3 linked regions of the Lytechinus pictus genome follow. The protein of the gene in region 2 purifies or fractionates together with the protein of the main gene of each other region. This does not show direct contact. Links are inferred from orthologs where the notes say so. Each region holds a gene or a part of one and is shown on either strand. Other genes may lie near its edges.

Region 1 (7,499 bases), on a different chromosome or scaffold from region 2:
TCTTCACATTTCAAATATACTGTAGGCTTATAGGTAACAATCAATAATTAAAAAAGATTTTCACAATTTATACAATAAATTGCAAAGCAACAGAAGATAGAAAAGTATAGAAACATGGAGTAAAAAGAAAAAAATGGGGACTGAGTAAATGGAAAGGTGTATAAATAGTAGATTGGCAATCTACGATATTTACCCTAAACAGCAATGGCATTTTGAGAGCTCTCATACTAATGGACTGATTAATGAGCTGGAAGAAAAATACTATAAGGAGAGCAGAGAGATCCCTGCTAGACTCTACAAAACCCACAAAAAAAATGAAGGTATGTATTTAAGAGGCATATTTTATTGGGAGATAAAGATGAGGCACAGGAAATTGAAAATATAAAACCAAACATCATTTTTCTTGAATTAGAAGACTGAACAAATGCATATTCGAATGTTAAAGATAAACCTCAATTCTGCCTGATACTAATAGCTGAATTGTGAAGGGAAAAAAAGGCTCAAAATGATTGAAAATTGATTGTTATTTTTTTTATTAACAACTGTAGGTACGAATGGTTGTTTATCATAGGCTATATGTTTTTTGTAGATTGATCAAACAAGCAATAATTAAAATAATAAAACAATAATTCAAATTATAATGATAGTGTAATTTGATTGATTCCACAGCCATGGACCGCACACAAACACATATGTATGAGACTACAAATTGTCATCCTGACCATTCCAGCTTTCACTGATCAGATGATTGTCAGGGTATTTGTATAAACTTATAAATAATTTGCAATGGACCTTTTTATTCTCTCTATTAATACTTTCATTTCATTTTTAATGCTTCTTCAATATATTTTTTTGTTCATCTTTGCTCCAAATGAGACTTTCAATATTTGATGCAGATTCCAAGAATGAGAAAGCAAAGCCTGACAAGGGCCCAGTAACACAAGGGTTAGCAAATTAATGGCTAATTTGAAAGAGCAATTCTGATTGGTTCTTAATCAATCAACAGAGCAAAATGTGTATGCAACGATGATCGTGATAGGTCATTTCATTTAGCGATTAATCGCTAACCTTTGTGTTAAGGGACCCAGGCACTGGAAAGGCCAGAAGAGTACCCATTCAATAATGCAGTGTATTTTTAATTGAAAGCTAGCTCATCATAGACTACACGTATCTCCATCGAGTGATTTTAAAGCCAGGCAGCAAAGACACAAATTGCATGGGCAGTGTAGGCCTGCGAAAGTAAAAAGGCCAACATATGGAATATGTATTTTTTAAGTACTCCATATACTACACAGCACTGTGTGATTACCAGTGTGGTTTAGCAAGTCAATCTCTGTTTATGTCTCATCTATAGGACTTGTTTATCGTTCAAAGACAGAGAGACCTAGGGATTCATCGAAATGACAACTGCAAGGGTGTCGGCCTTGAGCGCCCCACATACCTCCAGGTTCAGTGACTAGTCTGTATGCAGTTTATGCATATGATTTTATACTTTAAGAGGGAGACGGGGGATTCCATTTCTCTGATGCATAAGGCTTGAATATATATACGAGGAGGGAGTTTGAGTTGATAATTGTTACCTCTGATAATTAATAGCAATTAAGTTAAACCTTCTTTATTGTTGGTTTGTAGTCAACTTCAAAAGGAAAGAGGTCATCATTTGGTTTTTGTTATTAGTGGGCCTACATTAGGGCCTAAAGGCATAATATGGCAAGTGACATTTTGAAACTATATTTAGGGACAATTATTGAATTCCAAATAACAGAGATGTTGTCTTTTTTAAACCAATGTCAAATTCAGGGAATTGTCTTTAAGACAGTAGAAACTTGCCAACTTACCGTGTACTGCAACTTTACCCACAATTCACATGCATATTCCCACACAGCTTCCCATACAGCGTTAGCATCATTATATTCACATGCCACAACCAAAATCTATTCGTTCATGCCAGCATTCTGCTTCATTGTTATCGATCAAATTGTGAGAAAGAATGGATTCTATCCTTTTCCCCCCTCGCCTGATTTATTTCATTTTCTCTGAAAACAGCCAGAACCATTCCCTGGGAAATGGAATACACGACACAATCATGTCCTACTTTTTCTGATATAAAAAAACCTACTAGATGTAGATCTAGTAGTGTTAGCCACCATATCCTTTTGGTAGATTTTGCAATTCAATACAAAACCTGCTTTGAGAGATTCTTTCGGACTGGTAATGAACTATCTAGTATGGATCCACATGACAGCAAAGACAGTACAGGAGCTACACAGGATTCTACATTCAAGCAAACAGATTTCAGAGAAATCGACGACACTCGCTCACCCGTCTATATTTCATCACTCACATTTCACCAGCCGGAGAACGTACCCTTGAAAGAGTATCCTCGCCTTTCGGATGTCCATCTGTGCGACGCCAAGGAGTGATTTCCAGAGACAAAAATTATCCGCGTGATTCCATGGCAAAATGAGCTACACAGTAATGAAGATCCTCCTTGCAGCTGGGCCTATTTTCACTGACTAATATTTCATTTTCGTGTTTGTCCACAAAATATGGTTGGAAACGCAAACATGTTTGTGTCAGGGGGGTATACAGGCTTGGCTCTCGACTCATGAATGCATGATGGGCTGAGAGAAGGTTGCACGCAAACCACATACAAATAGCAGTATCCCACCGCTGTTACACATTCTGCTTATGGGGAATGTACACTGAGTGAACACACAGAGCAAGCAACCGTCGACAACCGGTTAATGCAATGAAAGCACTGTGCTGCTATGCCAGGAATGCTAAATCAATCTAAAAACAACGAAACATACAAGCTTGACACATGATGTCTATCCTCAGACTGTCCTTCTCTCTCGCTCTGTCTTTCTCTTGTTGGATGAGTGAGAGAGCAAATGTGCATCCTTGATTGAAATCTTCAAAGCGTGAGCTCATGCCAACATTCTAAAGTACTAGCGTCAACCGGCCAAATGTATCGGCTCTCCGAGAGAGGAAGACCGACTCAGCTGTCACTTCGCTGACTCGCAGGCACGACGCGTATGACATGACAGCCACACGATCCCCCTTCCCCGTCACCCCATGTAGCAATCGTTGGGGGGAGGGGGACGAGGGCCTGGGGGTAACACAGCATACTTGTGCGTTCTACGAGACAGATATACATTTAATCTTTATCATGCATGTATAGTAGCGGGAAGTCTATAATTAGCTTGCTTCATTGAAATAAACAATAACTTGTTGCCTCCTAATCTTGTTAGCAGAATATTTGTACGCCAACTGAATAAATCACGCTCCCTTCCCCCTCCTGCCCCTTCACTCTGGGTCAGATGACCTTTATTTTCAGCTCACCGAATATGACATTTTTTATTCAATAATGTTGTCAGAAAATCAGATATTATTCATTTGGTAGGCATACTATCAATTATTTACAGATTTATTGCAAATCCACGATATTCAATTTTTATTCAGATCAAATGAAGACATGCAGTCACTAAATGTTACTTACAGTACAGTAATGACACTATATACAGTAACTGCACAAACTTGTTATCATAATTCCAAAAGGGGTAATAAGCTGTACTATTATGAGAATACCAACAGATGTGCCTTATTTAGAAAAAAAGTTATATTTTCCATGCAATGTTTATAAATTCCCCTAAATAATATCCTCAATATCTGTTACATTTTTCTAAGACTCCCATTAGGTTTTATTTTAAGTACAGTAAAAAAAAATATTGATGCAAAGATTACTACCAAGTTATATCAATCAGAATCATTATAAATAAACTTTCTAGTATTAATTACTTGAATACAATTAAATATATCGCCACTGAAATATGAAATTAGAATGAACATAAAAAGTATTACTTATAAAAGCAGTGGAAAAGGAGTCCCGATTATATTTTTCTCAATTTATTGTGTAAAAATGTAGCCATTTCAACTTGAAGATTTCTGCTCATTTAATTTGAAAATTACTTTAGTAGCATCAAAAACAATATATGACAACAAAATTGCACATGTATCTCTATGTGATGTACTGTGTATTCAATGCATCTGTGTGCTATCTGTCAAGTCTCTATACATGTAGGCACTATACAATTCCTCAAGATCATCTTAATTTGGTCATGGTCGGCATCGGCAGTCATTATAGGAAACATGAGAAGGAACTAATTAATTGAAGACCTCTTGGTCATGATCATGAGGCGAGGCTCAAGGAAATTAATGCACAAATGTTGTCAGGGTTAGACTAGCTACTAAGGAGTGCGGAAATATGATCTTCAAGCAAATACTGAATTGAAGGCATGGGACTGCAGCCAAATTTTCCCCCAATAACCTGACATAATTAATGTTCAATTGTGTGAAGGGAATCAATGCTAAAATTCATGCTTTTATGAATCTAAACTTTGATTAATGACCACTTAATATATGTCATAAGGCTGAATTGTCCAGTCTTTTATCCCTAATAGTGTTCTAAAAGCATCCATGGCTTTATGAAAATTGTAATGTCAAGTAACCTCAAAACTAGATAAATATTTGTCTTTGTCTTCACAAATTCAAAGACAGCTATTTAAAATCTAATCTTTAATCTGTCTATTAGAAAATGCACAGAGAACATGTACGCCTATTGCTTTTCAATATGGTTCCATGTTTGCATCATTTCATCATTTATAGCCGAGAATCCACTAACGATATCCCATGAATACACCGGCAAAATGTCTGGTCATGCTCCGGAATTGTCCAGAGAAAAGATGTGATTTACATAATTGACGCTTGGATCGATACCGACGTATGCGTTACGTGGGAATGTCACCGCGCACCCCAGAGAATCGGTCAAATTGGGGCGCGCCAAATGGATCTCCGTCCATTGAGGGTTGGAGTATGTGTAGCAAAGACAGGTGAGAAGGGAACCACTGTGTTCAGACCATGAGAAACAACGATTTGGAGACGTTATTTTTTTTTAGATCTCACACCAATCCCTGGAGAAGTATGCGTAGAAAACACAAGTGTGAAGGACATCATAACACCATATTTTTTTATACTAATATCCTAGTCTTCTTAAAAAAAAAAGAAATCTTATACAAATTACCATCCAGTGGTACAGTAGATTATATATGAGTCAACCTTCCATATGCACTTATTTTTTACTGTGTTTTATCATGAGAAATGAAATCTATCAATCAAATAATCAATCAATCGATAAGTCAATAACTTGAAGCATTGTTTCACTTTCAGACCAGATTCCATAAAACAATGCTCATTTACATCTTAAAAGTTAAATTTTGGCTAAGTCGAACAGATTTCTGTGTTCTCCACTCGCCTTACGAAGAGTCTCCCGTTTACACACCAATACTAATGACTCCAACACTATTTTCCACATAGACTGATACGTGTAGAATGGTGTGATAGCTATTTTGATCAAATCCTTGAATTGTGGTAGGCCTTTAATCAAACATTCACTACTCATGCATACCTTACCTTTATCACCAAAAAATATTCCATTCTTGAGTCAGATGTTATTGCCGTGGAATATGAATTGTACATGTATGACTTATTTGCTCAAAGCCAAGCAGGCATAAAAATATGCTATGGTCGATTGGTGGTGGTTTTCAGCTACAGCTATTTGAACAATATTTCAGTGTCGAACACTGCCAAGTGGTGTGCATACATGCCTGATGCATAAGGTCACTCAATGGACAGTTGTACTATGAGTGACCTTACTGGACATGGAGGAAATGCAGAAGAGACATTACAGCATGCAGTCATAATGATGATGCAAACCAACGCCAGATTGATACGTGAATGACACTAAACTTACGCTGGACAGAAACCAGACTGTAACACCAAACTGATGTCAAGTCTAACAACAGAAATCAAGTCTAATACAGAACCGACTCCAAGTCTAACATAAGACTTAGTCTATCACCACAATAGCACTGAGTCCTACACCAGACTCGCACCCTGTCCAGGAGCAGACCAACACCAACACAACACTGATGCCAGTCCAATGCTGTAACCAACACAGATAGACGGTTTACACTAACACCAGATTGAATATATAGTTGTGCCAAAACTATGCAGAGGCCGCTGAACAAATTTGAAAAGGAGGGGGGGGGGGGCTGAACATGTATACAATCACAAATGGGTAATTTTCAAGTTTCTGTATACATACTGAAAAATAAGTGGGGGTGGGGTATGACCCTTTCAGCGGCCTGTTAGCATAACAAGAATAGAGGTTTTCATCACTTTGGCAGAATAACAAATGCTTAACTGGCATTGGATTGCTACACTGGTGAAAATATGAACAGACCACATAAGGAAGAGTGCAAATACCCTAAGCTTGCGTGTTTAATTAGCCAATAGATGTTTCTACACTACACACAGCCAAGGGTGTCTTATCTGCTTTTCCCTAACCAATTTACATCATTAAAAGTCAAATAATAAACTTTAATCAGGTCAGCTGTGCTTCTTTGCTCTTACTGGGCTTGATAACGAGGCCATTATCTCTATGATATAATCACTTATCACTATATCTCAGTTGAGACCTCTGACCCTTCATATAGGACTATGCTGTACCCTTCGTATTAAGGTCTTGGATTTAAAGATATTTGAAGGTTGAAGAAAATAGGGAAACATCTAATTCCTGATAGATTTGCAGATTATTCTACATACAACTATCAAATATCATAATGATGTAAGATTTTGCAATTGACTAAAGTAGTCAATGTTGCAAAACTGACTAAAGTAGACCTGCTGAGAATTTTAATGCACTGCAAACATATAAATGCATGAATGGGACTACACCACAAAATATTTCTGCTGTCTTGCCACTTTTGTGTCATTATAGCTTAAATTGTGAGTGCATTTGAAAAGCAATCCTTTTACAGTGGATGTTTTTTCCAATGTTCTTCAAAAATATATGGAAAAGATCTAGAACTAAAAGCTTTGAATTATCTGTCCACCTTTCCCACAACAGATTTTTAATCAAAATTAAGATATATTTCTATCTTAGTATCTACATCTTTCTATTCTAAATTTCTAAATAAAAAGCCCTTGTGATTAAACAATTAAAAGCTTCAATAATGCCTATTTGCCATTCACATTTGAAAGAAAAATGAGCTCTTGTTTCTTGTCTGAACGGGGTACCTCACCACGGGACAAACGATGGGGGAGCAACGAACGAAAGGAGATTGCAAGCCCTGGTTTAGGTTTGACGCCCTTTTCCTTCCTTCCTGCCTTCCTTCAATCTCCCTATCCCTCCATCCCAGGCCAGCGTTTCCTGGACACTCCCACATCTAGTCTCTCATGTCCAGACCCCATTATCATTTCATAAACCCCAAAAAGAAAAATGCTCACAATCACAAAAGTATATTAAAAAGTATATGATGCCTTATTCACATAAAATATGTAGAATTTTTTTTTCTCCAAAAGTGAAGTCTTTGGTCTAAAGTATAATATAATCCTTTCAAACGGAGAATCATATTACAAAAATATATTATTTGGGC
Region 2 (6,953 bases):
TCCCCGGGGATTACCTTTCACATGATCATATCCATATCACTGATCACTTTTCAAGGTATGAACTGTACGGAGAGAAACCTTACAGTATCCTGGTTCAGTATTCTTCAATTCATACTTTCACCATCGGTTAACTGGCATTCGGTCTAGACCTTGCTTTGTCTCCTTTCCATCTGGTCTTATCCCACATGGTTAAATCCTAGTTTGCCTACTAACCGATTGGTCTAATTGACATTTGGCCCATTTACCACTATGACTCATTACAAGTTTAAGTCTGTAGTCATTTTGTCTAATATCCATTTGGTCTAATACTGCTTATTATACATTACTAGATACATCATTTACCAATCAACAAAGTCCAAAATAATTAGGATTCCAAGTGGAGATTAGACCGTCTAGGAATTTTGATAAATGGTAATTATACAATAGACCAGTTTGTAGTTACTTCATGGACAATTTTGGTCGAATGACCTTTCATTTCTTTCATTAAGATAGGCAGATTTCAAAGCAAGATATTACGTATGCATGCCTTACATAGCGGGATGAAGAAATTGAATAGACCAGGTGACTAGAATAGCACATCAATGAACACTCTATGAAGGTATTTGTTGAATTCTACTTTGAATGCATATTAGACGATGTTGTACAATGTACTTGGCAAACTGTGAAATATACCAGTCATTCGTGGACGCATTGTTTTTTGTGGATGTGAATGAAAAACATATTCAAAAGAATATATGAATAATCAAGACATCGAAGTTGGTGCTTATCTCATTAAATTTTAAACCACCATGTCACTTTAGTACAAATGACCTTCCTCTGATCATGCGCAGAATCTTCTGATCATGCGCAGATGGGAACTACGAACTGGCTTATTGGGTATAGACTAAGTGTAGTGTAGGCCAAAAGGAAATCGGCCCATATTGATGGTAGATCAAGTAGGTTTTAGCACATGTGGTATCAGACTACTAGTATTGGAGACATAGACCAACTGCTTGTATTTCAAGCAAATATAAACCTCCTAACCAGCCAAGACAAATCCTATGCTCAGGTTATAACTTGGTTCATAGAAAAGGCAAACCCAAGGTGCACCAAGTACAGTAGTCAGGAAGGTGACACGACATTTGCTCCTGCGGCAATTGCTCTGGGCTTAATTTTGTCTAAGATGTAGGATTAGGCTTGCAATGGAAATTTATGTTAGGTTTAGGGTAGGGTATAGTGTTAAACCCAGGGTTGAAGTTGGTCATTCGATTATTGTGTGGAATTTAGAGCGGAGCAATTGTCGCCAGAGCAAATGTCATGTGTATGCCGCACTGAAAAGCTATCTTCTACCAGAGGAATGAAAGGTTATTGTATGGCACCAGAGGTTTTGTTGGCCATCAGGATGCTAGTCTTGCGTACCTAATATACCACATTGAAAAGCTTTCCTCTACCAGAATGGTACCAGAGGTTCTTTGGCCAGTGAGGATGCTAGACTTGCTTACCCAATATGCAACACTGAAAAGTTTTCCTCTACCAGGAAGAAGAAAGAACGTATGGGACCAGAGGTTTTTTGGCGGGTGAGGGTGCTACTCCTGCTTCATTATGCCACAGTGAAAAGTTTTTCCTCTACCAGAATGGTACCAGATGTTCTTTGGCCAGTGAGGATGCTAGACTTGCTTACCCAATATGCAACACTGAAAAGCTTTCCTCTACCAGGAAGAAGATTAATTCTTACCGTATGGCACCAGAGGTTCTTTGGCCGGTGAGGATGCTCCGGAGACCTTCCAAACCTGGTAGCTACCGTCATTGTGAGAGCTGGTGAAGTGGGTTCCATCCCGGTGCCAGCATAGAGATTCTATCTGGTGACCAACGAACGAAGCTTCAAGCATCAGCTCACTCTGGAACCAGATGATCATCAGTCCTCGGTTGTAGCCGATCAAGAGCTGTGTACCAAAAAGAGAGGGAAAAATTCATCATTAATGCACAATGCTTTGAAGAATTACGGTTCTACTGTTATACGAAAATAAGGAAGAACCATGAACTCTGCCTTAGTTGAACCATTATACATGTACTTCAGACAGACCAAGTCTATTTACGTTAATTCCAATGGTATCCCATCGGTCAGTTTGGAATCAGTTTCGGTGGTGTGATTTTCGCTTTAAGGACCATAGAAACAGTCTCATACTTAGACTATATACATGTACCTTCATCTTACTTTCATAGTTGTTTTTTTTTTTTTTTTAATCGATGATGGTCCAGGGGCAGTTTTTGGTATGAAACCCCACGTCATTTTGCAGTCAATAAAAACAAACAACTATTGTAAAATGACGATGAGCTCATACAAGGTAAATCAGGCAGAAAACACAGAATATGAGCTTCAAATAAGAAATTTCATAACTTGCAAGCAACTAATGCAGGCATGTATTAGAGAACATTATAGAGTTCTCTATACATGCTTGATAAGGTGCGACTGCATATGTCTGTGTTCAGGCGACATGTGGCGATACACAAGCCAAACAGGCAAAGGTGTGACATGCCACATTAGAGAGGCTATGGTAGCTGCAAAACCTATCAATCTTGACTTTCCAAAGAAGCAAAGAAAAAAATGATATCCGGGTGTCATGAAATATCTTTCTAGGAATAGGATACTTACTCTATCCTTGTCACTGGGGTGTTGGGCGATGGCCTCCACTGCGCCGGGGTTCACCTTGAAGTCATCAGGTACACTGGAAGATGGAGAATCATTTAACCTGGTTAGGGGGGCCATGCCACACACCCAACAGGTGGTGGTCCAAGCAGTGGAGGGGAGTAGTGGGGGTGTAGTGGGGGTGTAGTAGGGGTGTTGTAGGGGTGGAGGTGTGACGATGGTGGTTAAAGGGTGGTAGAAGAGAGGTGAATGAAGTGGAAGGTATGATGGATAAAAGATGGATGGAGGTATTGTGGAAATGGTAGACGGTTTATTGAAGGGATAGGGAGTAGATTCAGCGATAGCGGAAGGGAGTATTGAAGTTGTGGTTGCAAAGATGTCGAGCAGTACGGTTTCGAGAGTGGTTATTGACATTAGGGGAAGAAGGGATGAGTACAATATTGTGAGGATGAGAGGTAACAAATGTTAGAGGAGGGGGAGTTCAAAGAACAAATAGAGTGATTAGATATTCAAGGGTATAAAAGGACAGTTGTGGTAGATGATATGTGGGTTATGTATGACACATGGGGATTTGAGAGGGTGGAAAGTCGACATAAATTTGATGTACAAGAAGCAGAAGCAACAACAAAGAGAGGAAAGTAGGTGGATGGTGGTGTGACAAATAGTTTCATCCAGGAAAAGGGAATTAAATACAGGATGATCAAGGAATCATGCAAAACAATAAGCAACGAGATCGAGTACAAAGATATAAATGAGAATGGGTGAAAGGCAGAGAAGGGAGAAGACATTGTTGGCATGGAAACAATGAACATATAAACAAGTAGTATACAGAAATGAATAATGTGACATTACGAAATGAAAATAAAAGAGGATTATGACAGTAGTAAGACGAGTATCAGACGTGTGATGGAATCACAGAATAGGTAAACATTGACATGAGATGATAAGGATGATGTGAGATGAGGGAGGGGTATGGAAAGGGGTGGGGGTAAAAAAAGGGGGGATGAAGCAAAGCAATGAAGTAGTAATAAGTCACCAGTTACCCAAGATCAGTTAATACTATGATTATAAATGAGGCTAAAGCAAATGAATAATAAACAGAGGAACGCTTGAAAATGGATGTCTCCTATCAAACTATCAAACAAATTGATATTGGATTTTTTTTCCAGTATATTTCATAATCACATATATTTTTTTTAATATTTCAACCATTAAATTGGTGCACGATATCTTTTGAAGGGAAAAATTAAAACTCATAACATCCATGTTCAACAGCTGGGCCTGTAACACAAAGGTTAGGGAATAATCACTAATTTAAAAGAGCAATTCTGATTGGTTCGTAGTCACTCTACTGAGCAAAATGTGCATGTAACAAAGATCTTGATAGGCCATTTCATTTAACGGTTAATCGATAACCTTTGTGTTACGGGGCTCTGGTATTACATAAATGACAACTTAACTGATGATTAAAATAAATCTAGTATCAATAATAATGATATCCATGAATTAACTGCATGTATGGCAATGTTAGTTTAAAAACCCAAGTTTTGCTCAGGGATTAAATGCAAATGCAACGCTACACAATGAATACAATTGAAATGTTTACAATGACTCATAACATACTCCCCTACACGTGCTCTCTCCTTTCATTTACATGTACTTTGAATACATCACTACACTGGAAATCAAAGTAAATATTTCCCCTGTTCCATTTCAATAAAGCACAAAATAAATACAGCAAAAATGATATCATTATAGAATTATCCTGTTCGAGCTGGTTAAGAGGTTACTCTTGTTATAACTATACAAGTGTCAGAAAGCAGTTGTTAAGGTGCATATTTCACTGAAAAAATAACCTCCACTGCAAAATAACTTCAACAAAGTATTATTCTATATCAAACAGCTGCAAATGATAATGCATTAATAACTACATGTATTCATGACACCAACACGAAAGAAACCACACCAGGTACGTCAATCTATTCATACACTAAATTGTATCAATTATAATTTCACTGTTATAACTTCTACTCTCTGTTTCTAAATGATTGGTTAGTGGAAAGCTGTAATCATGAAAGCAAGGCTGTGATAATTTTATCAAGCTTTTAATTATGCTTCAAAAGAAAAAAGTACTACAGTACGACTGCCCTTAATGCCAGTTGGCATTAAGAGCACACATCGATGCATGTTGTAGATGACACATTAATATGACATTATTCTGACGTTGCTGAAATGAAGCGCTTTCATGCGACAGAACAGATGTACATACTAAATGGAGAAATGAACAGGATGGCAGTTAATTGCAGTTTATGAGAGGCAACAGTATCGCAGATATTCATGCAGTCGTTAAAGAATAAAGATGAAAATTTATGATGTCCAAAGCAAAGGATAGTATCATTAGTTACTATATTTGATAACAGATAAACGAGGGGTGGTGAAGGGGGATCAAGCAGTATACACAAAAGTGTTTGAATAGGAGAGGGTGGGGTGGTAGAAATTGGGACAGAGGCAGAATTTGGGATGGGATGGTTGAACTTTGGATAGATGGTAGAATAAGGGGTAGATGGTAGAGTATAGGGAGGATGGTATTTTGGGGAAGAGGGTAGAATTGGGGGTACATGTAGATGGTAAAATTTGGGATGGGATGGTAACATTTGGAATAGATGATAGAATTTGGGGTAGGATAATAGAATTTGGGATAGATGGTAGAATAGTGGGTAGAATGGTAGAATTTGAGGTGAATGGTAGAATTGGGGATGGGATTGTAAAATTTGGAATAGATGGTAGAATTTTGGGTAGATGTAGAATTTTGGATGGGATGGTAAAATTTGGGATGGGATGGTAAAATTTGGAATAGATGGTAGAATTTGGGGTAGATGTAGAATTTGGGATGGGATGGTAAAATTTGGAATAGATGGTAGAATTTTGGGTAGATGTAGAATTTTGGATGGGATGGTAAAATTTGGGATGGGATGGTAAAATTTGGAATAGATGGTAGAATTTGGCGTAGATGTAGAATTTGGGATGGGATGGTAAAATTTGGGATGGGATTGTAAAATTTGGAATAGATGGTAGAATTTGGGGTAGATGTAGAATTTGGGTTGGGACGGTAAAATTCGGGATGGGATGGTAAAGTTTGGGATGGGAGTGTAAAATTTGGAAAAGATGGTAGAATTTGGGGTAGATGTACATGTAGAATTTGGGGTGGGTGGTAGAATTTAGGGTGGAATGGTGGAGTTTCGGGTGGATGGCAAAATCTGTGGTAGATGGTCGAATTTGGAGATGGTGGGATATGGGGAAGATGGTAGACTTTAGGTGGGGTGGATAATAGTAATCTAGAAATTATGAGAGACCATTGGCCAAACTCTTGGGTATCCAAGGCTATGGACCCTGTTTCATAAAACAACAGTTACTATTATGGTATCTACATGAACACCATTTCACGATAACTACCATTGTAAAATTGCTAAACAGCCAATTAGAATCAGTGGTTTCATGGGTGTTTCCACTGGATGGCAAAGATACATACCATAATATTTACTTAGTTACTTTTGAGAAACAGTGTCCTTACAGAGGGTGTAGAAAGGAGTGGGAAGGGTAGGGTCTAACATCTGACTTTTGTTTACGTCACTCTTAATATTGTTCGTTATCATGAACAAAGTAAGTAACAATTTAACAGCATACAAACATGACAGTTTCAATAGTAATTTCAAAGTATAAAACATGGTTAGTAAGCTTATGATCAATAACTTAAAATCCTCTTTTACAATGACAGCAACAGAAAGGGTGTGTTTTCTGGACTGCTATTGTAAGCACTAAGCCCCAATCATGTCAGACATTTAAGACATTTCTGAGCATGATTACTAAATTTGAATACTACTAGCTGATAATTAGAGTCATCATGGGGCAGTAGTGTAAGCAGGATTTTTTAAAGGGGGGTGGGTTTCAAGCTGAATGAAATGTTGACAAAAAAGGGTCTTCAACACAAATTTAACGTCGTTTCGTACCTCAAAAAGAATTGACAAGCAAAAAAAAGGCCTTCAAATTTTTTTTTTTTTTTTTTTTTAAATCTTGGGGGTATAAAAAATTAAGGGGGGTTGAACCCCTGTAACCCACCCCCCCCCCTGCGTATGCAACTGTCATGGAGTCATCTGCAAAAACCAATTAAGTACAGGGGGTAAATTCTTTAACAGGATTGGTCTAAATTCCATTCTGTTGGTGAATGTGTGTTCGACCAAACATAATGGTCACAATCAAACTTTGGGTCGTTTCTAAATAATAATTTGATCAGATCAAATACACATTCAACAACACATTGGTTTTTTTT
Region 3 (7,267 bases), on a different chromosome or scaffold from region 2:
GGGGACATCGACATCATCAGCCCACCTATTGCATATTCATGATGGCGTTCATAATACTGTTTTCGCAAAAAATGATATTGCTTAAATTTAAAATTCGCGATTTGTGATATTTTCAGTGGGTTGCTCGGTGAATTTTACTCTTCATTTTATTTAAATATAATTATTTTTCAGCCAGGGGTGCCCTTTTAAACGTACGGTTAGGCCTAAGATGTGTCTATTTAACTATTATAGTCGAAACAAAAAAACTCGAAGGATTCAAGTTTACTTTATCAAGATTTTGAAAACATATTTGCTGTAAAAGGCCTTCACTTTGTACATCTAAATGTTAGATCTATTCTACCAAAAATTTCAGAACTTCGAATTCTTTTTAAGAGAAAGAATCTTGCAGTCATTGCTTTCACAGAAACATGGCTAAATAACTCGGTGAACGATGAAGAAATCAATATAGATGGATACAAAGTAATACGCAATGATAGATTATCAGGTTCTGGGGGTGGTGTATGTTTTTATGTCCGAAATGATATTGCATTCAATATCATAGATGTTTTAAGTACAGGTGATTCTGAATCACTGTGGATTAATTTGCTTCTACCAAGATCAAAACCAATTATTGCTGGCGTCATTTATAGGCCTCCGAAAAGCAATCAATTTATTGAGAAGATGTCAAATATTCTCGATATATTAAAGAAAGATGATGAAATTATACTTTTAGGCGATATGAATGTTTGTCTTTTTCAGAAATCTCCACTGGCTAAAAAATATACTGACTTATTGAGTCTTCATGGATTTAGCCAACTCATCAAAGATGCAACCCGTGTCACTCACACATGTTCTTCTTTATTGGACCATGTGATTTGTAATAACGAACAAAAAATAAGTCAAAGTGGTGTTATTGATCTTGGTATAAGTGACCATTCTTTTACTTTCTGTACACGAAAGAAAATTAGGCTGGCTATAGGTGTTCACAGAACCATTGATATCAGATCGTTGAAAAAATATAGCGAAGAATCTTTCAATCTTAAACTGTCTGCCGTTGATTGGTCAGATTTAACCCAATGCACTGACGTAAATAAGGCTTGGTCAGTTTTTCAAAATACTTTTATTTCAACGTTGAATATGATAGCGCCTCAAAAACGGATTAGAATTAAACAGAGATCAGAAAACTGGATGACTAAAGATATTATTTCTCTTATTCGAGAAAGAAATGTGGCGTATAAAAAAATGAAGAAAAATCTAAGCGGTCAGGATTATGACACGCTTTCCAAAAGATACAAGAAATTAAGAAATATGGTTCAAAGAGAGGTGAAAAAGGCCAAATTAGAATACCTACAAAATAAAATAGAAGAAAATAAAAATGATTCTAAAAGACTTTGGCAGAATCTAAAAAGTTTGGGATTAAAAAAGAAAAATGGAAAGGACCAAGAATTAGTCGTTTCAATTGACGGAGAATTATGTCATGATAAGATAACTATTTCCAATGAATTCAATTCCTATTTTACAAATGTCGCAGCTACGTTGGTAGATAAACTTCCATCTTGCAAAGATATTTTCAGTGCAGACAGTGAAAACATTCGTAAATTTTATGAAAAAAAGGGTATAAGCCAAGATAAATTTGAATTATTACCTGTTAGTGATCAATTCATTTTTAATGAGTTGCGTAAATTAAATGTATCAAAAAGCACTGGGTTAGATTTGATACCTGCTAAATTTCTAAAAGAAGGAGCAAAGAGTTTGTACAAACCATTAAATTTCTTAATAAATCTATCTATCTTTACTAGCACTTTCCCAGAGGATATGAAAATTGCAAAAGTAACTCCTATTCATAAGAAGAAAGATAAAACTGCTGTTGAAAACTATAGACCTATCAGTGTTTTAAGCATAGTATCCAAAATTCTAGAAAAGGCGGTATGTGTTCAGATCGAAAAATATTTTAAAGAAAATGATATGATTTACGAGTCAGGTTTTCGACATGACTATTCGACTGAGACATGCCTTATTCACTTGACTGATTATCTGAGAACAAATATGTCTAAGGGACAATTCGTTGGGATGGTACTCCTAGATCTTCAAAAAGCATTTGATACAGTTAATCACGGCATCTTATTGAAAAAATTACAAATAATGGGTTTTAACCAGGCTACTGTAGCATGGTTCAAATCCTACTTGTCGAATCGACATCAAGTAGTGGCTATTCGCGATATTTGTTCCAAAATTATGCCTATAACGTGTGGAGTTCCACAGGGAAGTATTTTAGGCCCAATCCTATTTTCAACTTATATCAATGACATGTCTATTTGTTTAAAAGCTGATTGTAAATTATTATTGTATGCAGATGATAGCGTACTACTTTGTTCAAATGCCAACCCAAAATTTGTTGAGGAAAAACTTAGCGAACAGCTGTCTACATGTGTCGATTGGATGACTGATAATAGATTATCGTTACACTTAGGCAAAACCGAAAGCATTCTGTTTTGTTCTAAAAGTAATCATAAAACTTCATTTGAATTTGAAGTATCATACAATAATAAGATAATTCATAGGAAAGAATCTGTAAAGTATTTAGGCATTGAGTTGACTAGCTCCCTTTCATTTTCATCTTTAGTAGAATCAATCGTAAAAAGGGCGAATGCCCGTTTGAAATTTTTGTACAGGTATCAAAGTTGTATGGATCAAAAAGCAAGGCGTATTCTCTGTTTTGCTCTTATTCAGAGTTTATTTGACTATGCCAACCCTGCTTGGTTTAGTGGCATAAGCGAACTCGATAAAAAGAAGTTGAAAATTATACAGAATAAAATGGTTAGATTCATTAGCTGTTCTGGTCCCAGAACCCATGTTGGCTACACCGAACTCTCTGGAGCAGGTTTTCTTGAAGTCAACAAAAGATCAAAACAGCTTATTTTGCACCACGTGCATAAAATCTATCACAATAGATCGAATCATTACATTGGATCAAACTTTAATCTAGTTACCGAAATACATAACTATAATACAAGAAACAGCCATTTCAATTTTTGCTTACCAGAAAGGGTAGGTAGTATTGGTAACTCATTTTATTACAATGCTATAAAACATTGGAATTCCCTTCCCAATGATATAAAGGAAATAGGAAACTTTTTGCATTTTAAGAGGAAATTGAAAGAATATCTTTCACTTGAGAGTCAAAAAGAAGATGCAAATGATATGTTGTACGGTTGATTTAGCCTGAATACTGACCTAGTTCTTTTCTCTTCTCTACTTGGTATTATTATGTATTTTACATAGTTTGATTGAAGCTTCGATATGTCCTTTCTTCTATTCTTTCTATTTCTTTTATTTCTTCCTATTCTCCTCTTCTTGTTGTTATTGTCGTCACGTTTATGCTGTTGTTCTTCTCCTTATTTATTTCCCTTCGTTGTCAGTTTCTTCCGTCTCCTTCTACTCCTCGTCCCCCTCTTCTTCTGTTCCTCCTCTTCCTTCTCCTTCTTTTCTTCTTCTTCTTCGTTATATTCTTGTATATATCTTATTTATTGTCTATATATCTTATTTATTGGTAATAGTAAATTCTGATTTTTTTTCTTCATTTTTAATATGTAAATAGTATAATTTTAACATTTTATTATCTTAATTCTGTATATTGAGGACCCCACTGGAAATAAGCTTTCGAGCTTTCGTGGGTCATCCTGTGCAAGCCTGTTGTTTTAATGCTACTGTATATATGTTATGGTGACTTGCCAAATAAAATCAATCAAATCAATCAATCAATCAATCAATCAATCGAACCGCGGACTTCGTCATGCAGATACCACTATAGTGTCGAGAAGTTAAAAGGAAATGGCGCCATCCTACACTTTGCACGCCCAATCCAAAGGTGTGTCCCTTTATGACTCAACTTTGTTCTCACACACACCCACATGAAATAGAATAAATTAATTTTTTCTAATTGATGATGTTAATTAACAGAGCCTTTTCTCTAGAATACATTGAAGAAAAATACTGGGGAAATTCGATGTTGAAACAAGGGGCACCACGGGGGCACCAACAGTACCAAGTTGACTGGTTGGCGGAAGTAATTTGGAAGTGGGTTTATATCTGACGTCACAGCCAACTGATGTATCAGCGACATCACATCAACCCGTAATTTGTCAATTTGATTACCTCTTTGGAAGGAAATAGGAAGCAATAGGATTACTCTTTGGAGAATTGATGATTTCCCGCTTCAAATGCGGGATTCGGTGGGCATTATGGCGAAAAATGGATCCACGACAATGCTCAATGGGAGCAACAGATGGGCTAAAGGACTGAAAGAAATCAAAAGCAAGGTGAGTATTTCATTGGTGTTCTCTCAGACTCATGTCTCTGCTCTAGCACTGACACTACCGGTACTCTGTCACAGCAGGCTAGGCCTCCTTCGCGGCCGCGGCGGAGCCGGCGCCCCTTGCCCTTGCTGCTTGTTGCCTGAACAGGCGCTGTCCTCTGGCTCGAGTCTAGACATGGACCAAGATGAATGTTATTAATTACTAACTAAGTCACTATTATTGATAACTGCAATATTATTTTCTTTATCATTTTGAAAACACGACCCAGCTGCCCAGTGTAATAACTTCAAGTCCTTTTCATGAAAGAATCGTACCATAAAAAAAGGAGAATGATCGATACATCATACCGGGCGTAAGGACATTTAATATTCAACCCGTTTGGAGACTTTCCTCAGATATATAGAAATATGGAATTTACCTTAATTTCAGACCTGTCTTATATCCAAGAGCAAATGCTGGTTATTCTTTTTGGAATTTTGCATTATTTTTTTCTTCAACCCGTCGACGCGACTGCCGGGGCGATCAAATTATTCGGCGATGGTTTTGGCACTAGTAAGTACATGTAGTATTCAACCTGTCGCCAGTCGGAAGATTTTTTTTTCAATTATGGAATTGGAAGAAGATCAGAAGGACAAAAAAGAGAAAATAGACATACATAGTTCTAAGTAGGATAAAAGAGAAGAAGACAAATGGAGGAAGAGAAATAGTAGGATGAGGAGAGAATTTTGAATGGCCATTTTCATTTTGGCAGGCTAAAAAGGTCTTGATGGGGGCAGATCACCTATCATTAAGTTCTTCCCATTCATTATTTGCACCACTCTATAAAATTTGAACTACATTTATACAGTGCTTCCCAGAAAAAACGAAACCGAGGTTTAGTGATGATTTATCATAACTTAATCATAAATCTTCTCTTTCAGAAGGTATAACATACAAGATTTCTCATCCACGCATGAGTGAGACAGTGGGTAAAAACAATTTGAAGAAAGGATAGCAAAAAGTCATTTGGCGGGGGGTATCAAAATTAAAAAAAAATCACATGCCTAAAAATTTAAATATCTGTTTTTTAATGTAGCTAAATCGCAGAAAATGGTCAAGAAATAATAAAGCTATGGTTCTTCAAAATAATTCTTGTATTTCCATAATTTCATGAAACATACATGTTTTCACCGGTTTCCCGCAGAAGCTATCGCACGGTTAACAAAAGACTTTATGCATGGCTGATCATCAACAAAACGGATTGTCAAGTAAGTCTGAAAGTTATCCAGTATTAAAACCTCTTCATTTTATGAATTATTGGACTTCAAGCCTTATTTCAAATAAACAGAACTAGGTTTAATACTTCTTGAACGTTTTCTGTTATTGAGGTATCAAATTAAAGAGCAGATATTGAATTTTTTAATGTGATTTTTTTTTTGAAACTCAGATACTGCCCGCCAAGTGACTTTTTGGTTTCCTTTCTTCAAATTTTTTTTGCTCACTCAGGCATGAATGATAAATAATCTTTTTTCAAATGAAAGAGGAGACTCTTCTTTACAATGATAGGTCATTTGTCTATTGTATTTGTGATTAAGTTATGAAAAATCATCGATAAATATCGGTTTCGTTTTTTCTGGGACGCACTGTATACATGTAGTTCAAATTTTATAGAGTGGTGCAAATAATGAATGGGAAGAAATTAATGATAGGTGATCTGCCCCCATCAAGACCTTTTTAGCCTGCCAAAATGAAAATGGCCATTCAAAATTCTCTCATCCTATTTCTCTTCCTCCATTTGTCTTCTTCTCTTTTATCCTACTTAGAACTATGTATGTCTATTTTCTCTTTTTTGTCCTTCTGATCTTCTTCCAATTCCATAATTGAAAAAAAAATCTTCTTCAGCCTGGTGTAGTACAGAAGTAAAGTTAGTACTGTAAAACTATGGTACCATGCCATACAGGTACAATGAATCGCCTTCCTATTGTGTAGGCTACTCTACATACTCTGGAACTCATCCTTGCAAAGGGAAAATATCATTCTGAGCAAAACTTTTTTTTTACAGAAAAGTGATTTTTTTAATGCAAATGTGAATATTGGAGAAAATTATTGAGTGGCTGATGTAACATTCAATTACATGCCTATTCTGCTTTGTATCTGTCGCAAATTTGTAATACACTTGTAAAACTTTATACTAGAGACTATTTTTAGTTTTGGTAATACAATCATAGAGAGCATGTATTACAGAAGGAGATCCTTCTTCCAATTCCTCTGTTAATCCTTTGTTATCGCTTCCCTCTGGCGAAGGAACGATATCTAACATCAATCGGCAAGCCGCCAGGCGAAAGTAAGAGCCCGCTTACGTAACGCAATAAGCCCGCTCGTAAAATCTGAGGTCAGTGATTTTTTTTAAGGTCCCTGCGAGGCACCGCCGAAAACGACGTTCTTCCACATAACTTCGAGCTCTGTTTTTTTCAAAATCGAAACACGACTTGCTGTACTTCCAACATCCATATCACTTCGTACGGATTTCTGTACGTCTTTGATGTATGGTTGAACTTCTGAGATGATCCCCTTTGCATACATACCAAATACGTCACAATCTGATTTGACTCAACAAAATTACAAACGGAGGAACTTTAGAGATTGGTCATTTTAGGTATGTCTGTCTTTCTTCCGTAGTTAAATCTTTTCCTGCTCGTACATGTTTTAGAAATTATAAGGTGAAAAAGCATACTTTGAGCTTAATTTTTATGCAAAGATCATTTGCGTGATTACAATGGCCTTGATACTATAACGACGAATCTACGATCCATTTCTACGTCGATTGATGCATCGTCGAGTATCTTCCAGTGCCCCACGTACTCCTATTTGTGTAAGTTGAAGGTGAGTGTGATGGTTGAGCTCCGAGCTTGCGCACCCAGCTCATTCATACAGTACAGGCCTCAGCTCCGGACCGTTTCGGAAAAACCTGAATTGACTCATTTGAAGAGATA

Evidence for each region.
Region 1: the proteins of LLGL scribble cell polarity complex component 2-like (region 2) and protein kinase C iota type-like purify together in Drosophila melanogaster (affinity purification with western blotting; 6 studies listed by BioGRID, with this or other methods). This does not show direct contact. The link is inferred for Lytechinus pictus from reciprocal best matches to the Drosophila melanogaster genes l(2)gl and aPKC.
Region 3: the proteins of LLGL scribble cell polarity complex component 2-like (region 2) and partitioning defective protein 6-like purify together in Drosophila melanogaster (affinity purification with western blotting; 5 studies listed by BioGRID, with this or other methods). This does not show direct contact. The link is inferred for Lytechinus pictus from reciprocal best matches to the Drosophila melanogaster genes l(2)gl and par-6.

Annotation. Positions count from the first base shown.
Region 1 is NC_087258.1:8,748,353-8,755,851, forward strand, and holds the start of protein kinase C iota type-like, read right to left. Parts: upstream 3,004-7,499; 5' UTR 2,403-3,003; coding exon 2,345-2,402; intron 1-2,344. UniProt on the Drosophila melanogaster protein: Serine/threonine protein kinase which is required for apico-basal cell polarity in the germ line as well as in epithelial and neural precursor cells, for epithelial planar cell polarity and for cell proliferation.
Region 2 is NC_087254.1:8,879,423-8,886,375, forward strand, and holds the start of LLGL scribble cell polarity complex component 2-like, read right to left. Parts: upstream 3,056-6,953; 5' UTR 3,041-3,055; coding exon 2,633-3,040; intron 1,923-2,632; coding exon 1,715-1,922; intron 1-1,714. UniProt on the Drosophila melanogaster protein: Essential for the development of polarized epithelia, for cell polarity associated with asymmetric cell division of neuroblasts during development, and for oocyte polarity formation.
Region 3 is NC_087246.1:69,801,080-69,808,346, reverse strand, and holds the start of partitioning defective protein 6-like, read left to right. Parts: upstream 1-4,220; coding exon 4,221-4,298; intron 4,299-7,267.